Stegostoma tigrinum: one gene and its partners. The protein of the gene in region 1 interacts with the protein of each later gene in a pairwise test. Links are inferred from orthologs where the notes say so. Each region holds a gene or a part of one and is shown on either strand. Other genes may lie near its edges.

Region 1 (6,969 bases):
GAGCAATAAATGCTACCTTTGGCAACAAGATTATAAAATGATAAAAACAGTAAAATTTTATAATTCACAAGTTACATTTCAGCTAAAATTCTCTGATTCTGAACTGCACACCCACAGGTAGGATGCCAAGGTCTTGGATAAAATACAAAGATTTATTAGAATAGTACCAACAATAAGACTTCAATTACATAGAGTCTGGAAAAGCTGTTGTCAATATTAGAACCGAGGTTAAGGGGAGATTTGATGGAAGTTTTCAAAACTTCAAGAAGCATTAACAGTTTCTCTTTATTTACAGTACTGGAAGTCAGGCTGAAGATAACTGGTCAAAGAAGATGAAAAGAGACACATTAAACTAATATGAAATTCAATGCTGGAATGAATGGTATCAGGAAATTCAATTACAGCTTTCCAAAGGAAATGGTTTATATACTCAAAAAGGAGAATTACAGAGCTGTTATAAAAAAGCAGGCAGAGACTAACTGGAGCTACTTTCAGAGAGCTGGCAAAAACATACTGTACAATTCTATGTGTACAGCTGGATGAACACAGCAGGCCAAGCGGCATCAGAGGAGCAGGAAGGCTAACATTTCGAACCGAGACCCTTCTTCAGAAATGGGAGAGGGGAAGGGGTTTCTGAAATAAATAGGGAGAGAGGGGGAGGCGGACAGAAGATGGACAGAAGAGAAGATAGGTGGAGAGGACACAGACAGGTCAAAGAGGCGGGGATGGTGCCAGTAAAGGTGAGTGTAGGTGGGGAGGTAGGGAGGAGATAGGTCAGTCCAGGGAGGACGGGCAGGTCAAGGGGGCGGGATGAGGTTAGTAGGTAGGAGATGGGGGTGGGGCTTGATGTGGGAGGAGGGGATGGGGGGGGAGGGACAGGTTAGGGAGGTGGGGATGAGCTGGGCTGGTTTTGGGATGCAGTGGAGAGAGGGGAGATTTTGAAGCTTGTGAAGTCCACATTGATAACATTGGGCTGCAGGGTTCCCAAGCAGAATATGAGGTGCTGTTCCTGCAACCTTCGGGTAGCAATGTTGTGGCACTGCAGGAGGCCCAGGATAGACATGTCGTCTGAGGAATGGGAGGGGGAGTTGAAATGGTTCACGACTGGGAGGTGCAGTTCTTTATTGCGAACTGAGCATAGGTGTTCTGCAAAGTGGTCCCCAAGCCTCTGCTTGGTTTCCCCGATGTAGAGGAGGCCACAACGGGAACAGCGGATGCAGTATAGCACATTAGCAGATGTGCAGGTGAACATCTGCTTGATGTGGAAGGTCTTCTTGGGGCCTGGGGTGGGGGTGGGGAAGGTATAGCACTTCCTGCGGTTGCACGGAAAAGTGTCAGGTGTAATGGGGCTGGAGGGGAGTGTGGAGCAGACAAGGGAGTCATGGAGAGAATTGTCCCTCCTAAAAGTAGAAAAGGGTGGGGAGGGAAAAATGTCTGGTGGTGGGGTCAGATTGCAGATAGCGGAAATGTCAGAGGATGATGCGTTGGATCCAGAGGTTGGTGGAGTGGTACGTGAGGACAAGGGGGATTCTGGTTTGGTTGTTATTGCAGCGACGGGGTGTGAGAGATGAGTTGCGGGAAATGCGGGAGGCATGGTCAAGGGCGTTCTCAACCACTGAAGGGGGGGAAAAATAGCAGTCCTTGAAAAACAAGGACATCTGAGATGTATGGGAGTGGAACGCCTCACCCTGGGAGCAGATGCGGTGGAGGCAAAGGAATTGGGAATAGGGATGGCATTTTTGCAGGAAGGTGGGTGGGAGGAGGTGTATTCTAGGCAGCTGTGAGAGTCAGTGGGCTTGAAACAGATATCAGTTTCTCGGTGGTTGCCAGAGATGGAGACAGAGAGGTCCAGGAAGGAGAGAGGTATTAGAGATTGCCCAGGTGAATTTAAGGTTGGGGTGGCAGGTGACAGCAAAGTGGATGAACTGTTTGAGCTTCTGGTGGGAGCACAAGGCGGCACCAATACAGTCATCAATGTAACAGAGGAAGAGGTGGGGTTTAGCGCCAGTGTAGATCTGTCCGATGAAGGGTCTAGGCCTGAAACATCAGCTTTTGTGCTCCTAAGATGCTGCTTGGCCTGCTGTGTTCATCCAGATCCACACTTTGTTATCTTAGATATGGAAGAGGGTTTGTTCCACGTAATCTACCAAGAGGCAGGCATAGCTTGGGCCCAGTGGGTAACCATGGCCACACCCTTTGTCTGTAGGAAGTGGGAGGAATTGAAGTCGTTGAAGGTGAGGACAAGTTCGGCGAAGCAGATGAGGGCGTTAATGGAGGGCGACTGGTCGGGCCCACGGGACAGGAAGAAGCGGAGGTCCTTTAGGCTATCTATATGGGGCATGCAGGTGTAAAGGGTCTGGACGTCCATATTAAAGATGAGGTGTTGGGGGCCAGGGAATTGGAAGTTCTGGAGGACGTGGGTGGTGTCACGGGCATAGGTAGGGAGTTCCTGGACCAAGGGGAGAAAATGGAGTCGAGATGGGTGGAGATGTGTTCGGTGGGGCAGGAGCAGGTGGAGACAATGGGTCCCCCTACCGCATCCAAAAACCAGCCCAGCTTGTCCCCGCCTCTCAAGCCCCATCTCCTACCTATTAACCTCATCCCACCCCCTCGACCTGGCTGTTCTCCCTGGGCTGACACATCTACTCGCCACCTACACTCACCTTTACTGGCTCCATCCCCACCTCTTTGACCTGTTTTCTCTCCATTCATCTTCTATCTGCCTCTCCCTATTTATTTCAGAACCCCCTCCCCCATTTCTGAAGAAAGGTCTAGGCCCAAAACATCAGCCTTGCTGCTTCTCTGATGCTGCTTGTCCTGCTGTGTTCATCCAGCTCTACAACTTGTTATCTCAGATTCTCCAGCATCTGCAGTTCCTACTATCTCTGTACATTTCTATGCTTACTCACGTATTTGCAGACAACCCATTTCCCAGGCACACTGGGTGCACTAGTGGATTCATCACTAATTCCCGAATTAATGCAAGGCTGAGTGCAGACAGTACGGGCTGGGTAGGTACAAAGCACAACTGAATGCTCTTGTTTCTGTTTTGGCAACACAATCCTTCCTGAGCAGGAAAGAACAATGCAATGAAAATTGATTACTAACACTGAAACCGGTTTACACTGGAAATAAAAAGAAATGGAATTCCACATTCCTCGGCTATTCGACAATTATAGAAAACAATTAAACATACAGTTGAACTCACAGGCAGTCGTCCCATTCAGGGTAAAACGCAATAACGATGCTGCTGGCCCCTGGTCGGCGTCACTGCGGCTCTTCCTGCTCCTGCGAAGAGTAATGTTATCCGTAAGGCCTGTGTATGAGTGTAGGGGGATGTATGCAGGCCTCTGTGTTTGTCGATCTGCGGCCTACAGTGGGTGCACAGTGAAACCACTGACCGGCTGCGGTACATCTGACGGCAGATCCGGTCGCTCCTGACTGTCGCCCCTCACCACTTTTCAATTTTTTTGCTGTTTATTTTTCCTCTGCATCTCTGTCACATTATTTTCTTCTTCACGCTAGACTAGATTATTCATTCACCGATCGCTGTTTTGTTTCTTTTGCGCCTCATGTTTTTTTTTCCATCCCCCTCCCCCAACTCCGCGCCTCTTCAAATCGGCAGGCGACCGTTTGGTCACCCGGGAGACGAGGCAACCAATCGGGAAGCGGGCAGCTCGAATCCCGCCCCCCCACCACAGTGTGGTCACGCCCACTTCCGGTTACAACGTGTGGGGCGCTGCGGGGGACACGGCCCAATCAGCCATCAGGCCCGCTTTTTCGAGTTGACCAATCACAACGTGTTGCTGTTTAGAACGCATCCTCTCCCCGTCCTTCCAGGCCAGAGGAGCTATCGCGATAATTTTAGGCCGTTTCCCATAGCTACGACAATTGATGTGTCCAAGGCTACTAGCGGACGGGAAGGAATACAGTCCCTAACGACGAAGCGCGTGCAGCCCAGCTGGTGAAAGTTATACTGAGACTCAAGATAATAAAATGTGAGGCTGGGTGAACACAGCAGGCCAAGCAGCATCTCAGGAGCACAAAAGCTGACGTTTCGGGCCTAGACCCTTCATCAGAGAGGGGGATGGGGAGAGGGAACTGGAATAAATAGGGAGAGAGGGGGAGGCGGACCGAAGATGGAGAGTAAAGAAGATAGGTGGAGAGGGTGTAGGTGGGGAGGTAGGGAGGGGATAGGTCAGTCCAGGGAAGACGGACAGGTCAAGGAGGTGGGATGAGGTTAGTAGGCAGGAAATGGAGGTGCGGCTTGGGGTGGGAGGAAGGGATGGGTGAGAGGAAGAACAGGTTAGGGAGGCAGAGACAGGTTGGACTGGTTTTGGGATGCAGTGGAGGGAGAGGGGAAGAGCTGGGCTGGTTGTGTGATGCAGTGGGGGGAGGTGACGAACTGGGCTGGTTTTGGGTGCAGTGGGGGAAGGGGAGATTTTGAAACTGGTGAAATCCACATTGATACCAGAGATAATGGGAACTGCAGATGCTGGAGAATTCCAAGATAATAAAATGTGAGGCTGGATGAACACAGCAGGCCAAGCAGCATCTCAGGAGCACAAAAGCTGACGTTTCGGGCCTGGACCCTTCATCAGAGAGGGCTCCTGAGATGCTGCTTGGCCTGCTGTGTTCATCCAGCCTCACATTTTATTATCTTGGAATTCTCCAGCATCTGCAGTTCCCATTATCTCTGATACTGAGACTCAATCCGCTTTGTTACAGGAACTAAATTTCACAAAGACTTAATTTAAAAGGAGGATTTACATTTCCTTAAGCTTACGAAGAGGGTGATGTGTTTTCCTTTTTCCTCCCAGAGAGTCATACTTAAAAGCCAAATGTTTTGTCTCTCCTTTTCCACAGATGCTGCTGAGTTTCTCCAGTATTTTTTTCATGTCCGGTTGTAAATCCATTTCATTACGTTATAATAAAAACAAGGTACTGGCGGATGCTGGAAATCTTAAATAGTTTTAATTCATTCTATGAATAAGTAGTTTCAGAATAAGCGTTCCGATGTAGTCAATATCGGGCTGGAAACGTTACCTCCCTTTTTTTCTCACCACAAATACTTTCAGACCTGCTGAGATTGGCGTTTTTCGTTTTTATTTCAGATCGCCAGCATCCGCCGTATTTTGCTTGTAACCAGTGTTCAGTTGCCAACAGCAATTAATGCGGAGATTCATTACAGAACATTACGACGAGGATGCTGCATATACCTTGGCACACCTGAGTTTTTCAGAGCCTGTTGATGAATACGCTTAGAACCACAATCACTGTAGTAAATCTCCTGACAGAAGGTTAAAACAGATCACAAATCCAAGCGACAAAGGCATTTGGCGGTACTTGTCGTGTATTTCTGCGTCCTATAGACTGGGCAGGCCAAATTCAAGCCCTGTGAGCATGAGCTGTTCTGGAAACAGGCTCTACAATCATCATTGCCTATTTCTCTTTTGTGTCATAATTGTCAGTCAGGTGAGATACCAGAGGTGTGCAGGTACCTGTGTGCATGAATCAGTGCCTTTAGGATAAGAATGAATCAAATGGCAGACAATGGAAAGATTTTAAAAGCTGAAAAATCCTCACTTAAACTTTCCCGAAAACACCAACCTTTTAAATGACCTGCCTCAACAACTTTCTCTGTCAGCCCATTCCATATACACACCACTCTCTGCCCCTCAGGTCCTTCTCAAATCTTTTCCTCTCTCACCTTAAACCTATGCTCTCCAGTTTTCAATTCCTCATCCCTGGGAAAGAGACTACATGCATTCATCCTATCTGTGCCCCTCATGATTTTATATATCTTGATAAGATCACCTGTCATTCTCCGATGTTCCAAGGCCTATCCTGGCCAACTTCTCCCTATCTCTGAGGCCTACTATGGGCGGCATGGTGGCTCAGTGGTTAACACTGCTGCCTCACAGCACCAGTGACCAGGGTTCAACTCCACCCTCGAGTAACTGTCTGTGTGGAGTTTGCACATTCTCCCAGTGTCTGCATGGGTTTCCTCTAGGTGCTCCAGTTTCCTTCCACTGTCCAAAGATGTGTAGAGTAGTTAGACTGGCCAGGCAAAATTCAGGGATGTGTAGATTAGGTGGGTTATAGGGGTGTGGGTCAGGATGGGAGGCTCTGCGGGTTGGTGTGGACTTGTTGAGCCACAGGGCCTGTTTCCACACTAGGTAATTTTATGATTCTATTGTTTCATTACATTCAGAATGATCTGGGGAATGGAAGGTACCTTGTAAATGCAGGCTTCTTCAATCATTTATGTGACAAAAAAAATTGTAGTTTATAAATCATTCAGATCAATCCAAAATTTACTTCAGGTTGCGGTGGCCGAGATATAAAACGTGTGCAGGGCATAAAAGTCCATTGAACTAGAGTTAGTCAAAAATCTTGACACGTATATGCCAGTGGCTTCTCCTGGTGATCGGTGGCAGCAGCAGCTGCAACAAAGCTGATCGGTGGAGCATGTTTCCGGAGGAGACAAGAAAAACTGCAGATGCTGGAATGCAAGGCAGACAGACAGGAGGCTGGAAGAACACAGTAAGCAGGGCAGCATCTACAGGAAAGGCACAGTCAATGTTTCGGGTATTACCCTTACCTCAAGAGTAATACCTGAAACGTCAACTGCTGCTTTCCTCCAAATACTGCCTGGCTTACTGCGTTCTTCTTTCTTCCAGTTTGTCTACCATGTCTCCACAGGAGGTTGACACAGTCTCCAGGCCAGGCCAGGGCTAGGTACAGGAAGATAACACTTTTAAGATCTGGATGTTTTCCTTTTCTTTTATTCTTTCGCTTTTTAAAAAAAATTCTGCTTTTGTATTTTAAGATAGCAACTTTGTAAACTTTCCACTGTACTCCTATATTCCTGTGCTTGATAAAATCTAACTCTAACAATGGTTTGGTGTTAAGGCCTGATCAGAAACTATTCCGATCAAGTTTATTGTTTAAGTTTTAACTGTGAAC
Region 2 (7,770 bases), on another chromosome or scaffold:
CTTCAACCTTCTGGCTCACAAGTAGGAACATTACCACTACACCACAAGAGCCCTGGCATCAGCTGAATTTATTGGAGTATTTGGTCTACCAATCTCATTATTCAATGCCATTATTCAAAAGTGACCCTGTTCAGTTGTAAAGGAAGGAAGGGTATGTTACCTCATTGTAAAATAGCATCTGATATCTACTATTCTATTGCAGGGGAGTTAGTTGGTTAGTTTGTGGGTGATGTCAGTATCCAGGATGTAATGAAATGATTGTCATAATGATTTATACTGTATGTTAAAACAGACAAAATTGTTCTAATGAGTGGCAATAGGAGTTTAATATGGATAAATGTGAGGTGCTGCATTTTGGAAAGACAAATCAGGGCAAGACTTATACACCTTAATGATAAGGTCCTGGGAAGTGTTGTTGAACAAAGACAACTTGGAGTGCAGGTTCATAATCCCTTGAAAGTAGACTCGCAGGTTGATAGGAGAGTGAAAAATAACCACTCCGAAGTCTATGTGGTTCAAACAAGCCCCAAGTATATTATTTGATCATAAATAAGGGATAAGCTCTTATTGATTACCCAAAGCATTTGTCAAAAATACTGAGTTTGCAGCACACAGTTATAATTCTCGACTTCATGCAGACCATTGTTATTCTCACCCTTCAGCCTTGGATCTGCTAGTTTCCTTGGTAATTCAAACACCTTGTCTGTTGTTTATCTCCTTGCTCTTTGTAGCAATGAGTGATATGCTTATACAGGCTGTGAATGCTAAAACTTGGGAAAAAAAGATCGAGTATAATCATATCATTTATTTCAAGATAATCACATACTTTAATTTTAATCATAGTAATAGTAGGGTCTTCATTCCCACCTCAACACAAATGGCTAGGTTTATCATTACGTTTACACTCTCAGTGAAAAATGGTGACTTAATTGTTGATATCCAGCTGTCATTGGAAATAAGAGTTTTCAATCTGAGGGCTTCAAGCTATAAATGTTTTATTTGTAAACCTCCTTGGACCTCGCTGGTCGGTTAATTATAGTGATTTCAAAATTAATAGTTTATGACATAGACATGATTTCCTGTCATTGAATTTGTAACGTACCTGGCTTGACAAGAAAATGACACCATTTGTGAGTATAAATTATGATAAATTAACGTAAACAATGGATAGAAAGTGCCACTATTGAAATAGCTGTGGCATTACACTGATTGACACTATTAGCACCTCATGGTATCTGTCACCTCTGTGAGAATAAGGTTCCAAGCAAGGATTGGCTGAGGGGTAGTTTGTTGTTAGCAATCCTTTTTTTGATCTGTACTTTGTCCAGAACCAGCCTAATGATTAGTGGAAGAGGATGGGCCACCATAGAGTCCTTCCAGAAGACTAATTACTAGGATTCTTGAGAGCTATACCCTCCATAGGCTACTGTAGCACTTACCGTTTAACACACCAGCCTGTGTGTGACAGTCTCAGAAGGGATGGAGTTCAATGTCACGGAAACATTAACTCCTTCAAAATCAATACCTTGCACAACAATACAACCAGATCTTCCTGTTGAAATGCTGCAAAAAGTTGACTTTCATCCCACTTCTGACATTATGATGGAGGGGAAGTTCTTTTGACCTGGTCAAATGGGTAGGTCCCAAGATGCCATCATCACCTTCCCAAAAGCCTTGCAAAGTGCTGGGAGAATTGGAATCAAAATCATCAACTAGATTAGGTTGTAGCATAAAAGAGAATCACAACATAATGAATGTCCAGCAGCAAGAACTAAAAACTGCTATAAGTGTGGCCAATCAGGGCTCTTCAGAAAATATTGCAAGTTAACAACACCTTAATTACCTCACAAATAAAGAAATATCCCGCAAAATGGAAAATTTCCAGAGAGGTGGAAATCATGCAACAAGGAAAAATGTTCCTAAAGTTAAAGCTCCGGAACAAAAAGTGAAGACAGTGGTTCTACTGACACTCAGACGGAATAAAATAGATTCTGGACCATCGGTGTGAAAGTACAAGGCTTTGAAACAGAATTTAAACTCAACATAAAAGTAGCTGTCGCAATACTGACATCAGCTACCTGTGGTTGAAGTCTGTAAGAGTCAGGTCAATAAACATGTAGGCCCAGGGTCCAGAAATCACAGCACTTCAAATGTCTTGGCAAATTACCTTGAGACTTGGCCACAGCTCATGGAATGCCAGTAAAGTATTATACATACTGAGAAATCAGACTCTCATTTTTAACCAGAACTGAATGTATTCAACTAAGTCTCCTACAAATAGTGAATACTATATTTTAGAATGAATGAAAAAGGGAATTTCAAAAAGAATTTCCAAAGCTATTTAAAATCTTGTAGAAGAACCATTACAATACTCTGCAAGAAAATACTAAACTCAGCTTGCTTATATCACAGCGACAGAAACAACACAATGATAATCAAGGGTGGTCACTGTCCCCAAGGCACGAGGAGAACAGAATTGATAAAAGATTCTTCCAAACAGTTTGTTTCAATACATTGTTTCAGCTTTTTGACAAAGTTGAACCTCAACTCATCAAAGTCAATAATTTTGGAATCACTGACTTTTAAAATGAACCTTGGAAGTTGGGAATATATTTTGCAGTTGCTTCTCAATGAATGCTTACTTTTTGACTCTGCTTTCACCAGTTTCGCATTTGCCCTTGTGCAGTATATTACAATATTTTATCAGGAAATATACTATGCCATTACTTTCATTTGGTCACATCAGAAATGAATCACCAGCACTTAACTCCCACACTTTCATTACCAAGGACTACATGATGAAAAAACTGGAAACCTCCTCTGCAGGTTAAAAAACAGGAATGCTATGTTTTGATGAGATTGATAGCACTAAACCAGTTTTTTAAAGGTTGCAAATTTAATGAGCATGTCAATTTTGTTTCAAGCCATTTTTACCTGACAACCATGCGTATGTAAATTAATGTGCTGATATCCTGACGAGAACAGGGAATCCATTCAATAATATAGCCACTTGCATTATACAAACATTGTTTAATATTCGTCATTTTATTTTCCACATAAAGAGTTACCAGCAGGGTTTCCGTCAGCCAGATCTTGCCTGCTGTTTGGAGGGCCAGCAACAACCTTTCCCAGGGAGACCTACCAAACCATAAACCAAACAGGCAGCAGTGAGGCCACCAGCAAGCCTTCACCTGAAATCAGGACCCCAGGGCAGAAATCTGACCTACCAAGAGATGCCAGTCACTCAGGAGACAGTGACTCTTGTGCCCAGCAACGCTGCAGGGAAGACCGTGGCTGTTTCAGGAGAAACCTTCACCTGAGCCCCAGGATTGTGAAGTAACCTTGCGATGGGGTAACCCTAAACCTAAACCTAACCCTAACCCTACCACAGAGATTGGTAATGTCAGGAGGGGTTTCGTGGAGTGGAGGTCATTGGTAGAGGAATCGGCAGCAAAGGCAAGGGGTAGCTTTCTGTCAGGGCCTCAGTTCCTTTGATTGAGGGACCTCCTCTTATTGGCTGGCAAGCCAGCCACACAGTTTTAGCTGTCATGCACAATGCTTAGCAAAAGGCTTGCCTCCAGCCTGGATTAGTCCTGGCACAGGCTGATTAAGCCCGCAGGTGATCATAAATTAGCTACTTATTGGTCTCAGTTGGGCCATTCCTCTTTGCTGCTCCAAGTGTGTAATAACATCTCTGAATAGCTTGTTTAGAAAAATAGTTTGAGCTATGATCAGTCTGGGAAGTAGTCTCCCCACCTCGTTCCACTTACTGTCACAAAATCACGGAATTGTTCAAGCACAGAAGGAGGATTTTCAGCCCATCGTGTCTGCATGAACATTTTAACTTGGAGCCAGTCTCCTGCCTCTTCCTAGACTGCCCGAAACACAGATACAAATGGATGGATGACCTGCTCTGAGAGATTTACCAATGCCACACACAGCATGGTCAATAGGAATTACAAACTAAACATTTTAGGAATTATTATTACTCCAAGTTTCTCCCTGACCTATGGTTTTGCAAATTAATTATACAGAGTTCAAACGAGCCGTTTTAATTAGTGTCTTACAAAAGTAATTGATTATAGCTATACAAAGCAAACTACTGAGATGTGGTGTGATGTGCCTCCAGAACAGGTGGGACATTTGCCTTTTGACCCAGATGCAGGGACACTACAAGACCCTCAGGCAATCGATTGTATGATTGGCTTTGTTTAGAACATTACATTCACTGTACACTACAGGTTTCTGGTCAAACATCACAATCAAAGGCTTTTCTGTTACCACTTATGCTCAGAGAGTTCTAACATATTAGCTCTGGACAAGTGGAAGGAAACAGTGCTGGATTTTCATTCTCTGATGTTAACACCCAAAGGGAATATTTTGGTTGTCAGACTAAATCAAAGCAAAATGCAACGTTATAGTTTACAGTTTGGGGTCTCCACATGAAAAAATGTTCAGGAAAATATTCTCAAGTATCTTGCTCTTTCTGCAGCAAAGATTGCTAAATGATCTTTTTCTTTAGAAGTAATTATGGTCTTCAGATGTTTTCATTTCGTCTAAGATCACTTGACAAGTTACACTCTCCTATATGCAGAGCCACGATTTACGAGAATGGTTTCACAAAGAAAAAAAATTCAGTTTTGAGGATAGACTGAACACGTTGGGACTAGTCTCCTTTGAAAGACCAGTGCAGACATGATGGCTCAAATAGCACCCTTCTGTGAATCTAAGATCCTGGCAAGTGCAACACCTGAAGTGAACGTGGATTGGATCTTTGGCTGGAATATGGGTGAGCCAACACCTTCCTCTAGTTCCGATTATCTCAGACTCTCAGCTCAGATTCCTTTAGAATCCTAGAATTACCACAGTGTGGAAACAGCCATTTGGCCCATCAAGTCCACGCCAACCCTCCAATGAGCATCCCACCCAGATCCACCCCATCTCTGTAACCCTGCATTTGACATGGCAAATACACCTAGCCTACACATCCCTGGCCACAATGGCAATTTAGTATGGTCAGTACACATTACATGCATATCTTTGGACTGTGGGAGGAAACTGGAACATTTGGGGGAAACCCAAGGGACATGGGGAGAATGTGAAAAATCCACACAGACAGTCACGAGGGATGGAATTGAACCTGGGTCCCCAGCGCTGTAAGGCAGCAGTGCTAATCACTGAGCCACTGTGCCACCTTGCAATATAAATCACAACACCCGTAACTCTAAGAGGTTAAGTTTAATCTCTACCTCTTGGGGAAGGTTGCCCATCCATTGTAGAAACTGTGTGAGTGCCATCTCATTGATGGGCTCTACAATGGGCAGACAATCCATTTTCCCAGATCAATGCTTGAACATCAGAGTTGAAAATGACACTGACTTATAGACCACACACATTGTTACGCTCTAACTGGATCAGTGCAATTCCAAAAGACACGCTGAATTTTCATACAAAATCCAAATAATTGTCAGGTTGTAACAAATAAATAAAATGAAACTTTGATTTGCCCAATGATGATGAGTCTCAGGGTCAGGATATTTGGGGTGGAGGGGAGCATGATGTTTGAGAAAAGCTTACATCATTCATCCCTTCTGGCTTACCTTTGTTCAGAATATCAGATAGAGAGAAAACTTAGCGGAAGTCATACATCTACTTTATAAAAATTGGTTTTAGAACATAGAAAAGTACAGCACAGTACAGGCCCTTCAGCCCACAATGTTGTGCTGTGAAATAATCCTAATCCAAAACTAAAATAACCTAACCTACAACCTAACCCTCAATTCACTGCTGTCCGTGTGCATGCCCAGCAGTTGCTTAAATGTCACTAATGACTCCACTTCCACGACTACCACTGGCAAAGTATTCCATGCGCTCACAACTGTCTGGGTGAAGAACCTCCCTCTGACATCTCCTCTATACCTTCCTCCTAACACCTTAAAACTATGACACCTCTTGGCAGTCAATACTGTCCCTGGGGAAAAGTCTCTGGCTATCGACTCTATCCATGCCTCTCATTATCTTGTACACCGTTTGCAAGAACGCAATCACCAAAAACTACATTACTTTGCTCATGAAAAGATGTCTAATTAATATTGGAAGTTGCTGGTAATAAATTCTAATTGTAGCTAGTTTTGAACAGTTTATGTCCAAAGGAAGCAATGATATGAACATTAATGCAAAAGAGAGTTGACTTAATCCCATTGGACATACAGAAAAATAAATTGCTGGTTAACAAGATCTGAAGTAAAATATTAAGCTGTTGGTTTTGAGAAAAGAAAACTAACGTTTTTTTGCAAGGTTTTCTACTTCATTTGAGTCTCCATACCGATAGTTAAGATGTGTAACAATGTCTATATTAATGTAATTCTTACATCCATCAATTAGCATACCTTCAATTTTGTAGCTCACAAACTCAAACCCATTTAACAAAAAGCCTGTTTTAAGCAATGAAATGGCAACATTGCAATTCATTCATGTGACTGTATTGTAACTCAACTGATGGTCAACTGGAGATTAAAACGATTTTGAGCTAGAGTTCATAAACTGTCTGGCTATTACACAGCACTAGCGGATGTTCAACAGAATTTAGCAGGGTACGTGAATCAGTGCAAAATACTAAAATGGATGGCATTGCTGCTTGGAAGAGCTCCAGATGTAAATGTCAGAAGACCCAGGCCCATCCAGCAGGAACATCTTCTTTGTGTAATAACGAGGCATTGTAGGCCTGTCACATTCTATGTAAAGCCATCCATGTGCTCTGTGCATCATCACATGGTGTCATGAGCAATTAATGTAATCTTTATTCAGTACTAAAGCTTCACAGGGCACATACCACAGCTTGCTGTGGACTGAAGAGAGAAATACTTGTGTCAATCAGTGTTGTAATTGCAGTGTTTTGCTTTGTTAATTTATTTTATAAATTAGTGAGACTCTTAAATACTTGTTTTTTGGCTTCTCCGTCCCAGGTCTTTGCCATTTTGCTGAATTAGTAAAGCCTTGGTTCTGTGGAAGAGTTGTCAAGGTGCCAGAGCTGCGTGTTTTCACATCTCCTGCCTGCCTGCTGCAGTCTGTGCCTCCTCGCACATTGTGCAAGCAGCTCCTCTTGCAGAAAGAGAACAGCACGGGGAGCCCAGACAGAAAAGGATATTGTTCAGGGGAAACTGCAGCAGAACCTAAAGAGGAGTGAGCAAAACCATCAACATGGGAGCAGCTCATGGTAAAAAGGTAAACAGTCCTTTGTTCGTCATCTTGATTTAACATTTTACATAATGAAAGAGGGGTCAGAACGCTTAGCAGCACATAAAATATACTAAACTACTAATATTTTGTGTGCTGGCTGTGGATAATTGCCTATATTGAGTTAAGTACCAACTGCTAAGAAGAACTGAAACAAACTGATTGTTGTCTGAAAATAGAGAAATGGGCTGTGGGATTGAATTGCTTTAAGTATGTTAAATTTAAATGATTAACAGATATGAAGCATAGGTTTATTTATGTTATTCAATAAAAGCGTTAATTCTTTTCTGATCTATTTGTTTCCTCACACTTTCCCTTATTGCCTGGTTTTGTCCAATGAAACAGATTGGGAAAATCTTACCCGCAGGAAAGATTGTGGCTATAGAAAAGCCTGAGTTAGAATATTAATAATCTAACATTGGACCTGTACTAGCAATTCTAATCTTACTGGCATAGATCTTGCTACAGTAGATCCTCCCACAATAATGTGATTGTAAGACAGTGAGTTGTTGACAAAAAGGGCAAGAGATTCTG
Region 3 (7,539 bases), on another chromosome or scaffold:
AATATAAATTGGGCAGGGAAGACCAAATTAACAAATTGAACTTCAAACAGAATTTCTTACAGATATGAATGCAATGCTCTCATGATCTTGGGTAAGAGTGGAATTTTTTTAGGGATCTGAATGTTCTACTGTTTCACATAATCTGCGTTGCATGTGACATTTTACTTTAAGTTGCCTACTTCCTTCTCCAGTCCTCCTTATCTTACTCATTTATGTCATTACTTTGGAACAACATCGGCAAGCCAGATATGTCAGGAAGTACCTCCTTTTTATTTCTGTACGGTAATTCAGCCTGGCGTTTCATTCCTAATTCTTTATTCTGCAATTCCTTTCTCAATCCTTCCTGTTCTGTTACTCAAATCCTAAACCTCATGCCGCTGCTTCAACACCTCCCACAATTTAAAGTTTTCCTCATGATCACATAATCTAATCCCTCTTCAACAGGCATTATTATCCCAGTTCGCCAGTTTAGATTAGTTCGTTATTTCCTCTGCAGTTTTTTTCCACATAGTTATTAAAGTTTTTCAGTTTGCCCCTGATTTGCATTTCAAAATTGCTTCTTTCACTTTGGTGCATTTATCTACCACCTCGTTCCCTCTATTTGCCCAATTTCATTCCCTAATTTATTATTAAGGCATGCTGACAGACGTCTGAATTGCTCCTCATCCTCAGAATTTTCTCGGCACGTTTGATGCGGAGGAGCTCCAGTGCCGGATATATCCAAAGTGTACTCATCCTACACTTATCTCTTACCCTGGGTTTATTCACCCTCCCAGTGCTCTAACATCCACCCCAACGGACTATCGGGCGGAATCCCGGGGCCTCGTCCTCTTGGCCCCCTACTCTGTTCCCGGGGGCTCTTACCTTTTAGCCCCCATCCCTGTCCCACTTCGGACAGATTCCCCGATCGCCCGGATAGTAGTTAATAGTCAATTTTCTTACCCGGGTCTTGTGCACAAGAATTGCTCGATCGACTCACATTCCAAGGGCCCTTAACCTAAACCCACTTGTTTTCAGAGTCTCCTATCCGGATACGACTCGCTCAAGCCGCCCAACGGCAAGCAAGGACGTCTGGGACCTCTGAACTCAGCGGGGCACGCCTTCTCTTCTTCCGAACCCACCAGCGGACGACTCGGAGTGTGGATCCCGGATGAGCCCCCAAGCTTGTGAGATATAAATTCACGTGCTCACAATCACAAAGTCAGGAGGCAAAGTCTTGGAAACAAGTTACTTGCGCTTTATTACGAGTCTGCAGAATCGGGTGCCTCCCATTGCCTGAGACGCACACAGGTCAGGGAGTCACCCCTTCCCTTTCGGCTCTGTCCAATCTGAGCTCCAAGATGCACAATCTTCCCATGTCATCCCTTGTCCCACACTCTTCATACATTGCATGTTATGTTAATTAAGCAGTCTCGTAAGCATGGGCGTGAAAGTTAATATGCATTGTCTCATTAAGCATGCGCTTTAACTATGTCTATGGTGCAAAGCAGAACTTAGCAGTTTGGGTCCAGTTCATTCTGGTTTCTAACTGTTTTGTCTTCACTCCCTTATCTTATCACTCAGCTCAGTACCAGATGTCTTTGTTCAAAGCTGCAGTAATTCTTTACTGCAGTGTACTCATCCCTGTCTCTCATACTGTTCTTGCCACCAAAGTGTATAACCGCACATTTATCCACATTAAACTGCATCTGCCATGCATCCGTCCACTCAGTTAGACTGTCCAAATCACCCTGTATTGTCATAACATCCTCCTCACATTTCACACTGCCACCCAGCTTTGTGTCATCAGCAAATTTGTTAATATTACTTTTAATGCCTTTGTCTATATCATTAATGTACATTGTAAACAGCTGCGGTCCCAGCACCGAACGTTGTGGTACCCCACTGGTCACCGCCTGCCATTCCGAAAGGGACCTGTTTATCACTACTCTTTGCTTATTTGATATTTACCCCTAGAAACTTGAAGTGCTTGATCATCTTTACCTCTGCACCATTGTGACCAACAGGGCATATCCTCCAAGATAATAAAATGTGAGGCTGGATGAACACAGCAGGCCAAGCAGCATCTCACGAGCACAAAAGCTGACGTTTCGGGCCTCTAGCGTCACCGTAGACCAAGGGCTCGGGTGATACTGATGTTATATGAGGCAGGTTGTTATTGTCATTAACGGAGACAGATGTTATGTGCAACTTTGATGTTCTTATGTCTCGGTGAAGGGACTTAATTCACCGTTTGCGGTTTTTCCTCACTTGTCACTGAAGAGTTGCAGAAGTTCGAGTGTCAGTGACAAAGTGAGTCTCGAGGTCTTTTGGGCGAAAGTGTCGTATCTCTCGATGCCGAGGAATGTCATGAGGCGGTTATTCATTTCCGACCACTTGCCTCGTGCGCCCATCACAAAGCCAAAATAGCTGGGCACCTCGCCTCCTGTCAGTTTCGTGATCTCGGCATTCAGGTGTTTATATTTTTCCACTTTTTCTCGCCATGCTGTTTCCAGTGCTTTATTGTCATTTTCGTACCGCACTGTGACATCTACGATCGCGATCTTCTTGTCTTTCTTAAATATGAGATCGGGTTTCCATAGTGAGCCGTGTGTATCGAATAGTCTGGGCTCCACGTATGATGTCCAGCCGTACTTACTGACGTGTTTCTGCAACTGGTCAGCGATCTTATTATGGCGTTTGATTCGAGCTTTCTTAACGAATGGGCAGTATCCTGAGATGTGTGGTAGGGTCTCATTTGCCATCTCACATCTACGGCATAGTTTGTTTCTGTACGGCCTACCTCTAGATATTGTGGTTCTTGTTGGGTATAGGTTACACCGCAAGAGCTGCGGATTATCGCGGATGGTATTTGCACTTCGAGTTTTGGGACGCCGAGACCATCGTTCCTGTAGCTCGAATATAGTATTCTGTCTGCGGTATGAGGTGGTAGGTGTAGGAATTCTTTCGTGGCGTTACGGATGATTTGGTCCAGCTTTACAAGAGTAGTTTGTGATGCTTCTGTTAGGATCATATGGAAGTACAATCTGGGGATGACATGCACCTTTAGGATTTCCAACCGTTGCCGTGGTCGGAGAGGCGCTGCCTGTATTCCCTGAACCCAGGACTTAAGCTTCTCCTCCCACTGCCCTTCTGCCACACCTGCCCATGGATCGATGCGGGCACCCAGGTATTTCTCGGTGTCGCCTGGGGGTATGTAGGCTATGGATTCATCCCGTAGCTTCCAGTTTTTGTGCTCGTGAGATGCTGCTTGGCCTGCTGTGTTCATCCAGCCTCACATTTTATTATCTTGGAATCTCCAGCATCTGCAGTTCCCATTATCTCTGAGGGCATATCCTCCATTTCACTTTCTGAAATTGATGGCCAGTTCCTTCGTTTTGCTGACATTGAGGAAGAGATTGATGACTTTATAGCATGCCACTGAGCTCTCTATCTCTCTTCTGTACTCTATCTCATTGTTGTTGTCATCAGCGAATTTGTAAATGGAGTTACAGCTGAATTTGGCTACACTGTTGTGACAATATAAGGACTATAATAAGGGTCTGCGTGCACAACTTTTCAGGGTGTTGAGGATTATCATGGAGGAGGTACTGTCACCTATCCTTACGATTGTGGTCTGCTGCTCAGGAAGTTGAGGATCCAGTGCAGAATGGGGAGGAGTATCCTAGCTCTCGGAGGATTGGGAAATGAGTTTGGTTGGAATTATGGTGTTGAAGGTAGAGCTAAAGTCACTAAATGGAAATTTGACATACGTGTCCTCGTTATTCAGACGTTCCAGGGATGAGTATTGGACGAAAGCGCTGGTGTCTGCTGTGGACATATTGCGAGGATGGACGAACTGTAGCTGATCAAGGCAACCTGGGAGACTGGAGATTATGTATGCCATTAGTAACGTTGACTGGTTCCCAGGGAGGAAAGAAGATACAGACGTTGTTCTTGAGGTATGCGAGTGCTTGAGGTATTTGAGCAAATGGAGCAACTGTTCCCAATTGTGAAAGGACGAAGGACACAAAATTAAATAATTGGCAAAATAAGCAACCGCAATACGAGGAAATAACTTTTTTTTTATCCGTGCAGCCGGCACTCGAGGTCTAGAATACACTGCTGGAGACTGGTTCAATCGATGTCTTCGAAAGGGAATTGGACTGATATGGTAGCACAGTGTGGAGCTGGAGGAACACAGCAAGCCAGGCAACATCAGAGCAGCAGGAAAGCTGATGTTTCGGGTTCGAGACCCTTCAGAAAAGGGGCTAATTCTGACTCCAACAACTGCAGTTTTTACCATCTCTGGACTATGAAGTGAAAAGTTTTTAAAAATGTATGGAAAAGGAAGAAAAGCATGAAAAGAAAAAGACAGGCAAAAAAAATGTGCACCTTTGGAGTAGGGAGAAGGAAGCTATGAAGTGAGTCGCTCTGATAGTGTAGAGATGATGCATGCTCTCGTGCAGCAGTTCCCTGATTACACTTGTGCTCTGGACGGGAAAGTCTGCCTGCGATTGCGGATTGTGACGTGGCTCCTCGGAGCGCGCTTGCGTGTCTATTGGCACCGCTCGGCCGCCGTCGATCATTGAGGTTGCAGTTCCACGTCAGCTGGAGGACAACGGGAGGAAGAGATCGGCTTCCTCCTCCTCTACCTCCACACAATCATCATCATCCTCCTCCTCCCCCCTCCCCGCTTCTTCAGCCGCCGTTGATACAGCGACCCGGCCTTCTCTTCTCATCTCTGGAGACCAGGTGCAGTAAGACCGTCGCCTGGCAGCGGAGGTTGCCAGTTCCTGGCCGCGGCCTAAGGCCGGGTTTTGTTGTTGTCTCGGCCCCACTCATGCTTCCCGGAGCAGATTTACATCACAATAGGGAGCGGTCCTGCTCCCTCCTCAGATGGACTGGACTGACTCTTCGGCTTTAGATTGAAGCAAAATCAAATGAGGTTTTGAATAATCCTTGAGAAGCCGATGTTTTTACAAAAGTGAAGGGTCCCCGTGTAAGCATGTAGCTTAATATTTCCGCAGCATAATGTTCTCTGTTCACTTCCTTTGGGCTTCACTTTAACATTTGAATTATGCCTTTTTGCAAATCTAATGACTTTGCAATCAGGTAAAACTTGCCTGGTCCTGGAAAGTGCCAAGTAGTCAAAATGGCCAGGTCAGCTTTTAAACTGTCGGGATGCCCAGCACTGAGCGAGAGGAAACTGCTGCTACATAAACATTAACAGCGAAAAATCGAAAGGTCGAATTTCTGCGAGTTGTTTTGTGAAGTTTGCTAGCAAGTTGTGCATAAGATAATCGCTTACCAGAAGCGTCGGTCAACCAATTTTTCTTTCATTTAGAAAAGCTTTAAGCTTCAGTTTCAGCGTGCATTTTAAAATGGAATCATAATTTTCTCCAGTATATTTGGGATTCCATTCCATTCCTTATCAATAAGACCTCCTTTCTGGTTTAAATCTGTATTTGTCTTCTTGCCTAACTTTGCACTTTATTTCTTAATGTAATTTGCCATTTATCATTTCCGAATTTGTTACCTTTTCGATCTCCTTGGAGGTTTTCTTTCAAACCTGAAATCTTGATGGTACTTCATAATTCTGACTTAATTAATTCTATGAATTAACATCACTGTTCTTTCATTGAATATTCCTTTTGTGATTTGGTGGTGAGAGCTAGATACAGTAATCATAAGTTTTGAGCTGATCAGACAGCTGTCAGCTAGATCATGACTTACTCTGATTTGTGCCTACAGCAGTTCATCATTTTATTGGTTTTGTGGTTTGAATTTTGTGTTTAGTTGTACATCTTGTGACAAGTTTGTGGAAACACTTTGGTCTCCTTCAGCTTTCCTGCTATTTGCAAACAACATATATCTGATTTTCCTTCATGCATATTGAACATCATCTGCCATAGCTTTGTTCATCTGGACATTTTATGTCCCTTGTCTCACTTTCTGAGTTTCTTCCTTGCCCATCATAATTTAGCATTTGCAAATTTGAGCAAGTTGCATTGAAGTTTTGAACTTAAATATTGTATCAATCAACAATGAAGTCCCTTATTTACATTGGCTTCAAACTATATGATATACTTAAATGTTCTGTAAAACGCAAGTGTAGTTTAAATGTAGGATAAAGCTCCAATGACAGAATATTACCTGAAAATAACTACATTTCATGACTAAGTAATACAATGTGCCTGAGAGCCTGATAACTACACTGCACATCTCAGTTACTTCGAGTGTGAAATATCCTCTTAAAATTAGATAAAAGATCAAAGTGCAAACGTAAATTTTTTTTTCTCTAATTGTTACCTGCTGTATGAAAAAATGGTTTGTCAACCTCTTATTATATGATATTGATATTTTTGGTGAATACATGGCCTTCAGGAAGGGAGATGTGACCTGCTTCTGAATTCCGTGTAGTCCTTTCAGTTCCTGCTATTGATAAACAAATGGCAGAGTTCTAAAAAGCCATGATGTAAACTACAGTGTTATGATATGTCCCAGTGATGGCTCATAGCTAAATGCTATTGCCGTTTGTGACACAGTGCATCATCTCCAATCTCCCTATTCCTTTCCGAAACCTTTGGATGTCTGTCACCACCCAAATTGCTGCCCATCTTTCCTACAATTTCATGTTTGAAGCTCACTAATTAACCTTCTGCTCCTGCTGTAAGTCAGCTGTTATTAAAGTTACAACTGGCAACTTATATGACTGTGACCATGATAAGTAATCATTCCATAGTTTTTTTAATCTGCCTTCAACCTTTGACAACGTTGGCCATGCTATCCTCCTTCAGCATATCTGCTGCATCGTCCAGCTGATTGAAACTAACCAGGGGCAATTCCATTCTGATCGACACAGTCATAGCCAAATAATTACCTGCAATGAGGTATTTTTATTTGGTCCTGTGTTACCTCTGAATTCAGCAAGGATGTATCCCTAACTATTACCTATTTCTCCCCTACCTCTTTGACATAATGCAAAATCACAATCTCAGGTACCATATGTATGCTAGTGCCATCCAGTTCAACTTCACTTCTACTTTATGTGCATTGTTTCTGATTTATCTCACTGCTTTTCTGACTCCCAGTGCTGAAAGGACAAATTTTCTCCAACTAAGTGTCATCTTAGTTAATTCACAGAAACTTTTCTTCAAAATAGCAAGGGAAAAGAATTATCCCTGATGACCTGTCAAATATTTCTCTCGTAGTTACTGTTATAGAATAGATTATTTGGTTGCATTGGTGTTCGTGGAATTTTCTTATGTGCAACTCTGCTGCTGTTTGCCTACATTACCACATTAGCTGCACTTCAAATGTGCATCATTGCTGTAAACTGTGTTTTGGAGTTTCTTGACATAAAAAGGACTTCATGAAAACAAACGCTGCTCTTTTGTTTTCGCTGACTACACCCATTTCCATGAAAACTTAGAGACCAAACCAGATTGTGCATGTCCTTGGTGTCATGTTTGACTCTGAATTTTCAACCCTAACTCAGTTCTTTGCCAAGGCAATCTGCTTCCACCAATGTAACATTGTCAACCTACATCATTCCCT
Region 4 (6,886 bases), on another chromosome or scaffold:
CATCTAAAACACCTTACCAAGGTCTAAGCTGATCACTACATTTATTTCACCTTGCCCCTTTCTGAAGTGATTGAACTTAAGTCATGAAACACAGTAAATAAAGTTAGTTATTAAAATTAGGTGCATTATTTCTAAGTTGCTGTCCAACAGGTGTCAAAATAATTCCTTACGTTTTAAAACAAAATCAGTAAAAAAGTTGTAGTAATACTAACTAGTAATTTTATTATGATCCTCAACATTATATGTTTCTAAAGAATTATTCAAGGGAGACTAGAAAGTAATTTTCTTTCAAAAGATTACAATTGATCAAAATGCTTCACAGGAATTGCTAACTGGAGCTGAGTTCATCAGGAAACTGAAGATGCAATTAAATAAAAAATATTTAAATGATTACAAGGAATGATCAAGTAAATGGTATTGCAATTTAAAAGTTTCATTAGAGAACTGGCATTATCAGCAGCAACATGGTACTGGAGATAGCTTTCAGCCTATGCTAAAGAAAGAATTCAGTTGGTGTTTTCTTCCTGAAGGCAGTTCTGGCCCACAATGTCACGAGTTCAGGCAGTGGAAGGAGACGGGTCCTGAATCTACCCCTGTTGAAAATAATGTTGTGTGCCCCAATCTGATTCGCACTTGCTATTCAGTCCCCAAGGAAGCCGAGTTGTGAAAACGTACATTTTTACATGCAAGATAACAAAGTGTGAAGCTGGATGAACACAGCAGGCCAAGCAGCATCTCAGGAGCACAAAAGCTGACGTTTCGGGCCTAGACCCTTCAGAGATGAAGGGTCTAGGCCCGAAACGTCAGCTTTTGTGCTCCTGAGATGCTGCTTGGCCTGCTGTGTTCATCCAGCTTCACACTTTGTTATCTAGGATTCGCCAGCATCTGCAGTTCCCTTTATCTCTGATCACAATTTTTACATGCACCTCCCAGCCTGGAGATATGGACAGCAATGGTGGAAGCTCACGTTTGTTACCCCGAGGTCATGACTGGCCAGGAATCGATTATTTCTGGCATTCAGGAGAGTGATTTACAAATCAAAATTGAATCAGTCTGGCTGTGTGATGAATGCACCCTCATTTACCATAAAGTTCAGGATTAGGGCATAAACTTGAGTCTCGGACTCCAAAACAGAAAGTGTATCAACTAAGCCACAAATCCTCCCTCTACTGAAACATTAATCAATATAAACCGAATATCTACACGGAATATGTTTAAAACATCTTTGAAATATCTATTACGTACACAATCTCTAGTCTCCGAGTTAGAGCTATTTTTCAAACAAGTTCGAAACATTTCCTTTTGTAAGGCAAACAATGAAGTCGCTTAAATCAACAATAAACTCAGGTTTTGGAATAACCTTAGGAAGAGATCAGTTAATAGATTATGGTTCTAGTACAGAACTTGCCCTGTGCAATATTAAGTGCTAGCTCATAGTGGCTGGCTCTAAAAAGAAAACTGCATTAGAACTGCTGACTAAACGCAACGCGTAACCAGGGAAGATTATAATCATCGGAATCTGAGAAGGAAATGTCTGGTGCAGTACATTCACAAAACAAAGTTGTTTGTTTGATACTGGGTCGGAAGTTTCCGCGGTGGCAAAAACTATTAGGTTTTTCGATAACCTAAAACAAAGAACTGCGGATGCTGGAAACCTGAAACAAAATAGAAAGTTGCTGGAGAAATCCAGACTCTTAAAATTGAACCCGAATTATTAACTCTGTTTTCTCCAGCACTTTGTTTTTCTATTAGGTTTTTCGAAATTGGTGTTTGATAATAAAATGCACAAAGGAATCAGTGTAAAGCGCCAACTCGGTGCAGCGTAGTTGAACTTAAAAAAGGTCTGGGGTTACCAGGGCAACAACTTCATCTGTGTTCGGAATTTTGATTTAGGTTCCTATTTAAACTGCGCCCGCTACACATTAGTCGCCAGAATGGTACAAACAGCATTGCTTTCTGGTTTCCACGGTGAATCAATAACCGAAATATCGTGGGCAGTGTGAATGTGTCACGTCTTCAACATTGACCGGCAGTTGACACCATTCGAGAGGTGATTCCGAGATTATGTCAGCCTCTTTACTGCGAGCATTAAATTAGAAACGTGATCTGCTCCAGCGCTGCTAACCAGAGATATACATTTCAGTTTGGCTCAGACTGTGGCAACTCTCGTCTTATTAACAATGATCTAATGCAGCCACAAAGGAATTTTTACAAAAACCTGACATAACGTCGGGCACAAACCCAGCAAAGACCTCCCGTTAAGTAGCCGGTTATCCACAATGTTTAACGGAATTGTGCTATTCATCTTTCGACTAGCAGCCTATCGACTGTAAAAGGCATTGAAAGTTCTTGGAGGAAGAAACTTCAACCCCGCCCAGAAAGTGGATTGTTCCTTCAGTGTACAAAAAAAATTGACTGAAATGTAATGTAGTGTAGATTTAAAGTGGAGCAAACCTGGCTGACAGTGAAGTGAATAAGTTGTGTTGTGAAGAGGCGTGTGCCTTCTACATTTCATTTAATTTCAAGTGAACTAGAGTCACCAGCAACCCGTGCAAGGATCTTGTGCCCACAGTACAACAGAAATCTTTTGTTGTTAACGGCTTCCCTCCCCTCCCCCTCTATGGTGCCCCGCCTGGTGACAGTGGAAACAAGCCGCCCTCTCCCTCCTGCTTCTGAATCACAACAGGCCCAGGAAGGAGTCGACAAAGGCACTCACTCACCCTGCAGTCTCAGCTCCCGAGTCTGCCCACTCCTCCGCTGGCCCACTGCTGCCGCCTCGCATCATGTCCCAGAGCTGCGTTCGGGAACCAGCTTGGATACTCTCACTGCTCAGGGAGGCTCCAGCTTCAGGCGGCTCCGCTCCTCATTGTTTTCCCGCAGGTTGATCATAGAAACACAACCCGCCCCTTGACGTCACCAATCCTGACAGACAAGACATGAGAGACTTCCAATTGAAGGGTTTTCCCTCTCTGCTGCTTGTCCAGCCACTCGAGAGAGAGAAAAAATCTTATTATGACTACAAATATAAGGAGGGGAACAAAAGGCGAGGGAGACCTGAGACAGCAATCAAAGATACACCCGTCAGCCATTTGGCACATATGGCGCAGGCTCATGGTAGCGTAGAGGTGACTAGATGATTTGTGGAAATCAATGGAGGTCAGGCACTGAAGGGGCTAGATTTTTCCTAGTAAAACATAACACGTTTTAACAAATGCAAAATTAAAGTCAAGTAAAAGAAACTTCCCAAGAGTGGATTTGATCCGTTTTCTGTCAACATTTGCATGTGGTCCCTGCCATCCTTTACCCTATCACCATAATCCTCCTATCCCTTCCTTCTATAATGTTCTAGCTTCCTCTTAAATATACTAAGATCACGCTACATTACACCTGTAGCAACAAGGCCAACAGGCTAACCATTGGAAGTAAATCTTCTCCAGCTCTCAAATAGGTTACCAGAGGGCACAAATAAAAGTAATGAAAGCAAAATACAGTAGATGCTGGAAATCTGAAACAAAGAATTTTTCCACTTGACAAAACCATGTTGAATCTTCTGGATTAGTGTTTTTTTCCTAATCATATAGCCAAAAACTTTAATGTTCTAGTCAGTGCTTTCTCCTTGAAAGCAATCCATGAACTATTCTTCAAGTCTATCTCTGGCAATATTTCCAGTTTACAACACATCAAATCAGCCATGATTATAGCTATCATTTTACCAGAAATACCTTTGTATATCTTGTACGTTTTGTTTGACATTGTGGTTACTGTTAGGAGGCATGATTAATAGTCCTACACCTCCAGTGTGTTTTGTATTCTTCTTAAACGTAAGATACCCCTCAATATTAAGGACCCACTGTCCACTATTAATTCATTTACTTTGTTATGAATATAATGCAGAGTTATGACCAAGGTCTTTACTACTATACTCTGACAATTATTTCCCATGTTACTGTTTTTCTCTTGCTTTATCTGTTTGATAGGCTATATTCTTCCACATTTATTCACTTGCCCTCACTATTCAGTTTAAAACACTTCTATACCCTAGAAACAGTTTGCAAAAACACTGGCTCAGCATGGTTCAGATAAACGCCACCCCAATGGTGTAGCTCCCATTTTCTCCAGCAGTGGTGCCAATGCCCCAAGAACTGGAACGACATGTCCCACATTCGTTCTTGCGCTTTACACTAGCGCCATTCCTTACCTCTTCCTCCGCTACATTGATGACTATAATCGGCACTGCCTTGTGCTTCCTTGAGGAGCTTGAACAGTTCATCAACTTTACCAACCCCTATTCCCGCAATCTCAAATTCACCCGGACCATTGCTGATACCTCCCTCTCCTTCCTGGATCTGTCTCCATCTCCAGTAATCATTTCAACATTGACATCTATTTCAAATCCACTGACTCCCACAACTATCTGGACTAGACCTCCTCTCACCCACACTCCTGCAAAATTATGATCCCTCACTGCCAACTCCTCCGCCTCATCTGCTCCCTCGATGAGGCGTTCCACTTTTGGACATTCCAGGTGTCTTCTTATTCAAGGACTGCAACCTCTCTCCCTTCCGGTGATCAAAAATGCCCTCAACTGTATCTCTTGCATTTCCTGCACTTACACTCTCAAACCCACGCCCTCCAACAAAATAGTCAGAATCTCCTTTGTCCTCACATACCACCCTACCAACCTCTGCATCCAGCCTATCATTTGCTGCCACTCCCGCCAACTACAACTCAACCCCACCACCAGAGATATTTCCTTTCCCATCCCATCTGCCTTTCATAGATTGCTCAATCCGTGATTCCCTCGTCCACTCCACACTCCGCACCTTTCCTTGCAACTGCACAGTGCTACACCTGCCCGTAAACCTCCCTCCTCACCTCCAAGGGCAAAATCAAACCGTTCATATCGAACAAGGGTTCACTTGTAGATTCTCCAACTTGGTCTACTGTATGTGTTGCGCCCTATGTGGACCCCTCTATATCAGTGAGATGATCAGGCGTAAAAGTGGAGACTATTTTGAGGGGCATCTGCACTCAGTATGCGACAAGCATCACCACCTTCCGGTCCCCAAACATTTTAACTCCCCCCCCCCCCCCCCACTCCCTCGGTGACATGTCCATCACAACGACACCACACGCAAACTGGTGGAGCAACACCTCATTTTCTGCCTCTGGAGCCTACAGTCCGATGGCCCAAAACATAGGATTCATCAGTTTTAAAATCTCCGCACACTGCCCCCCCCAACCAAAATCGGCTTCATCTCGCCTCCTTGACCTGACACAGCCTGTCCATCTTCGCTCCCACCTATCTGCCCTACCCGTCCTGCTGACCAATCCCCAATACCCACTATGTGCATCCAACCTAACACCATTCCACTTACCTTTCCCCAGCCCCATGCATCCTCCCTCCCACTTCCTTCACCCAAGCACATGTCCGTCTTCTCTCCCACCTATCCGCCCCACCACTCCCTACCTGCATTCACCTATCATCATCCCACTTACCTCCTCCTGTCCCACCACCCCTCCATTCACTTTCCAGCTCCCTTCCCCCTCTCAAATTTCTGAAGGGTCCCAACCCAAAATGTCAACTTTCCTGCTCCTCTGATGCTGCCTGACTCTCACTCTACATCAATTTGCATAGCATTCAAGTAATAATCCAGAGACCACAAAGTTTGAGGCTTGCCTTTTAATTTAGTGCTCTAGCTTCTCATACCCTCTATGCAGAAGTTCTTACCCAGCTTTATTTGTGTCATTCGCACCCAGCTAGATCACAATTTGATGATCCTGGTCCTGCGACAATTTTGTCTTTAGTCTGAGGAGATATTTTGTTCTCCTGGTACAAGACAGACAATGCAGTTGTCTGGACTGTCATCCATTGCTGAAGAGGATAAACCAATCCTCTTGAGTATACTAACTATGACCACAACAACACTTCTTGTTCTGCATGCTCCACTCCCACCCCCCTTACCTGCCTTACTCTGTCACATCTTCCCATCTCTGACCACAGACCAAATCAAGACGCTGTTCAAAGTAATGTGAATATTTCTTGCTACAAAGAATTCAGGTGACCTTTCTCCTCCCCGACGCATCTCAGCTCACCCGCCAGCACATACTGTGAGCCAAAGCAGTTCAAGCCTAAACATTAATAAATGATAACAACATAGAGTCACTGAGGAAGTAAAACAAAAAGGTTTAATGGAATACCATAAGAAATGAGAAGTTACGCCTGTCCAGAAAGATTGATTTAGCTCAAGTTCTTTTCTAGAAAAGAGGTGACTTCCAAGTGGCCTAATCGAGATCTTTAAGGGTAAGATCAGGGAGATGTTGCATTGCAGTTAGAAGGTTGGCCTTGTTACCACATTGAGTGGTTGAGTAGATGAACACATTTTAAGAGAAGTTAACTAAACACTGGAAGAAAAGGTTAGAAGGATGTATTGTTAGGATGAATAAAGAAGAACAGAAGGCAAACACTAGATATTTACTTGTATCAAGCCACTTCAAAATGGTACAGTTTCAATGTGAGTACAAAAGCAGAAGAAAAGAATAAAAATTGATCTGCAGTAGTTCAAGGAGTCCCCTACCTGTTCGGGGCAACTAGGAGTAGTACAATAACTGTTAGCCTTGCCAAATTCCCCTAGTTTAGAGAATAAATAAAAAATATTTATATCCAGAAGTGCAGTTCTTCATAGCAAAGCAATTCAAGCTATGCCAGCCAAAAAAATGTTCATTGTTCAAATCCCCACTCACTCCTCTTCCCCAACACATGCATCACAAAAGGACTTCACTGCAACACTGCATTTTTGATTTGTAGACACAGCAGCCTATTTGCACACAGCTGGCTCCCATAAATGGGCAGATTTCCCTTGGGTTACTACATCCCAGATGTCCT

Evidence for each region.
Region 2: the proteins of trim37 (region 1) and protein FAM107B-like interact in binary tests that used the Homo sapiens proteins (3 or more experiments, as listed by UniProt). The two-hybrid records come from large-scale screens. The link is inferred for Stegostoma tigrinum from reciprocal best matches to the Homo sapiens genes TRIM37 and FAM107A.
Region 3: the proteins of trim37 (region 1) and copb1 interact in binary tests that used the Homo sapiens proteins (3 or more experiments, as listed by UniProt). The two-hybrid records come from large-scale screens. The link is inferred for Stegostoma tigrinum from reciprocal best matches to the Homo sapiens genes TRIM37 and COPB1.
Region 4: the proteins of trim37 (region 1) and protein FAM124B interact in a two-hybrid assay, tested with the Homo sapiens proteins (2 studies listed by BioGRID and IntAct). The link is inferred for Stegostoma tigrinum from reciprocal best matches to the Homo sapiens genes TRIM37 and FAM124B.

The regions. Positions count from the first base shown.
Region 1 is NC_081380.1:41,719,161-41,726,129, reverse strand, and holds the start of trim37 (E3 ubiquitin-protein ligase TRIM37), read right to left. Parts: upstream 3,009-6,969; 5' UTR 2,929-3,008; coding exon 2,910-2,928; intron 1-2,909. UniProt on the Homo sapiens protein: E3 ubiquitin-protein ligase required to prevent centriole reduplication. Probably acts by ubiquitinating positive regulators of centriole reduplication.
Region 2 is NC_081364.1:52,121,701-52,129,470, forward strand, and holds the start of protein FAM107B-like, read left to right. Parts: upstream 1-4,747; 5' UTR 4,748-4,789; intron 4,790-6,945; exon of another isoform or gene 6,946-6,965; 5' UTR 6,966-7,200; coding exon 7,201-7,224; intron 7,225-7,770. UniProt on the Homo sapiens protein: Stress-inducible actin-binding protein that plays a role in synaptic and cognitive functions by modulating actin filamentous (F-actin) dynamics. Mediates polymerization of globular actin to F-actin. Also binds to, stabilizes and bundles F-actin.
Region 3 is NC_081370.1:30,699,661-30,707,199, reverse strand, and holds the start of copb1 (coatomer subunit beta), read left to right. Parts: upstream 1-4,538; 5' UTR 4,539-4,734; intron 4,735-7,539. UniProt on the Homo sapiens protein: The coatomer is a cytosolic protein complex that binds to dilysine motifs and reversibly associates with Golgi non-clathrin-coated vesicles, which further mediate biosynthetic protein transport from the ER, via the Golgi up to the trans Golgi network.
Region 4 is NC_081367.1:24,340,975-24,347,860, forward strand, and holds the start of protein FAM124B, read right to left. Parts: upstream 3,002-6,886; 5' UTR 2,786-3,001; coding exon 2,721-2,785; intron 1-2,720.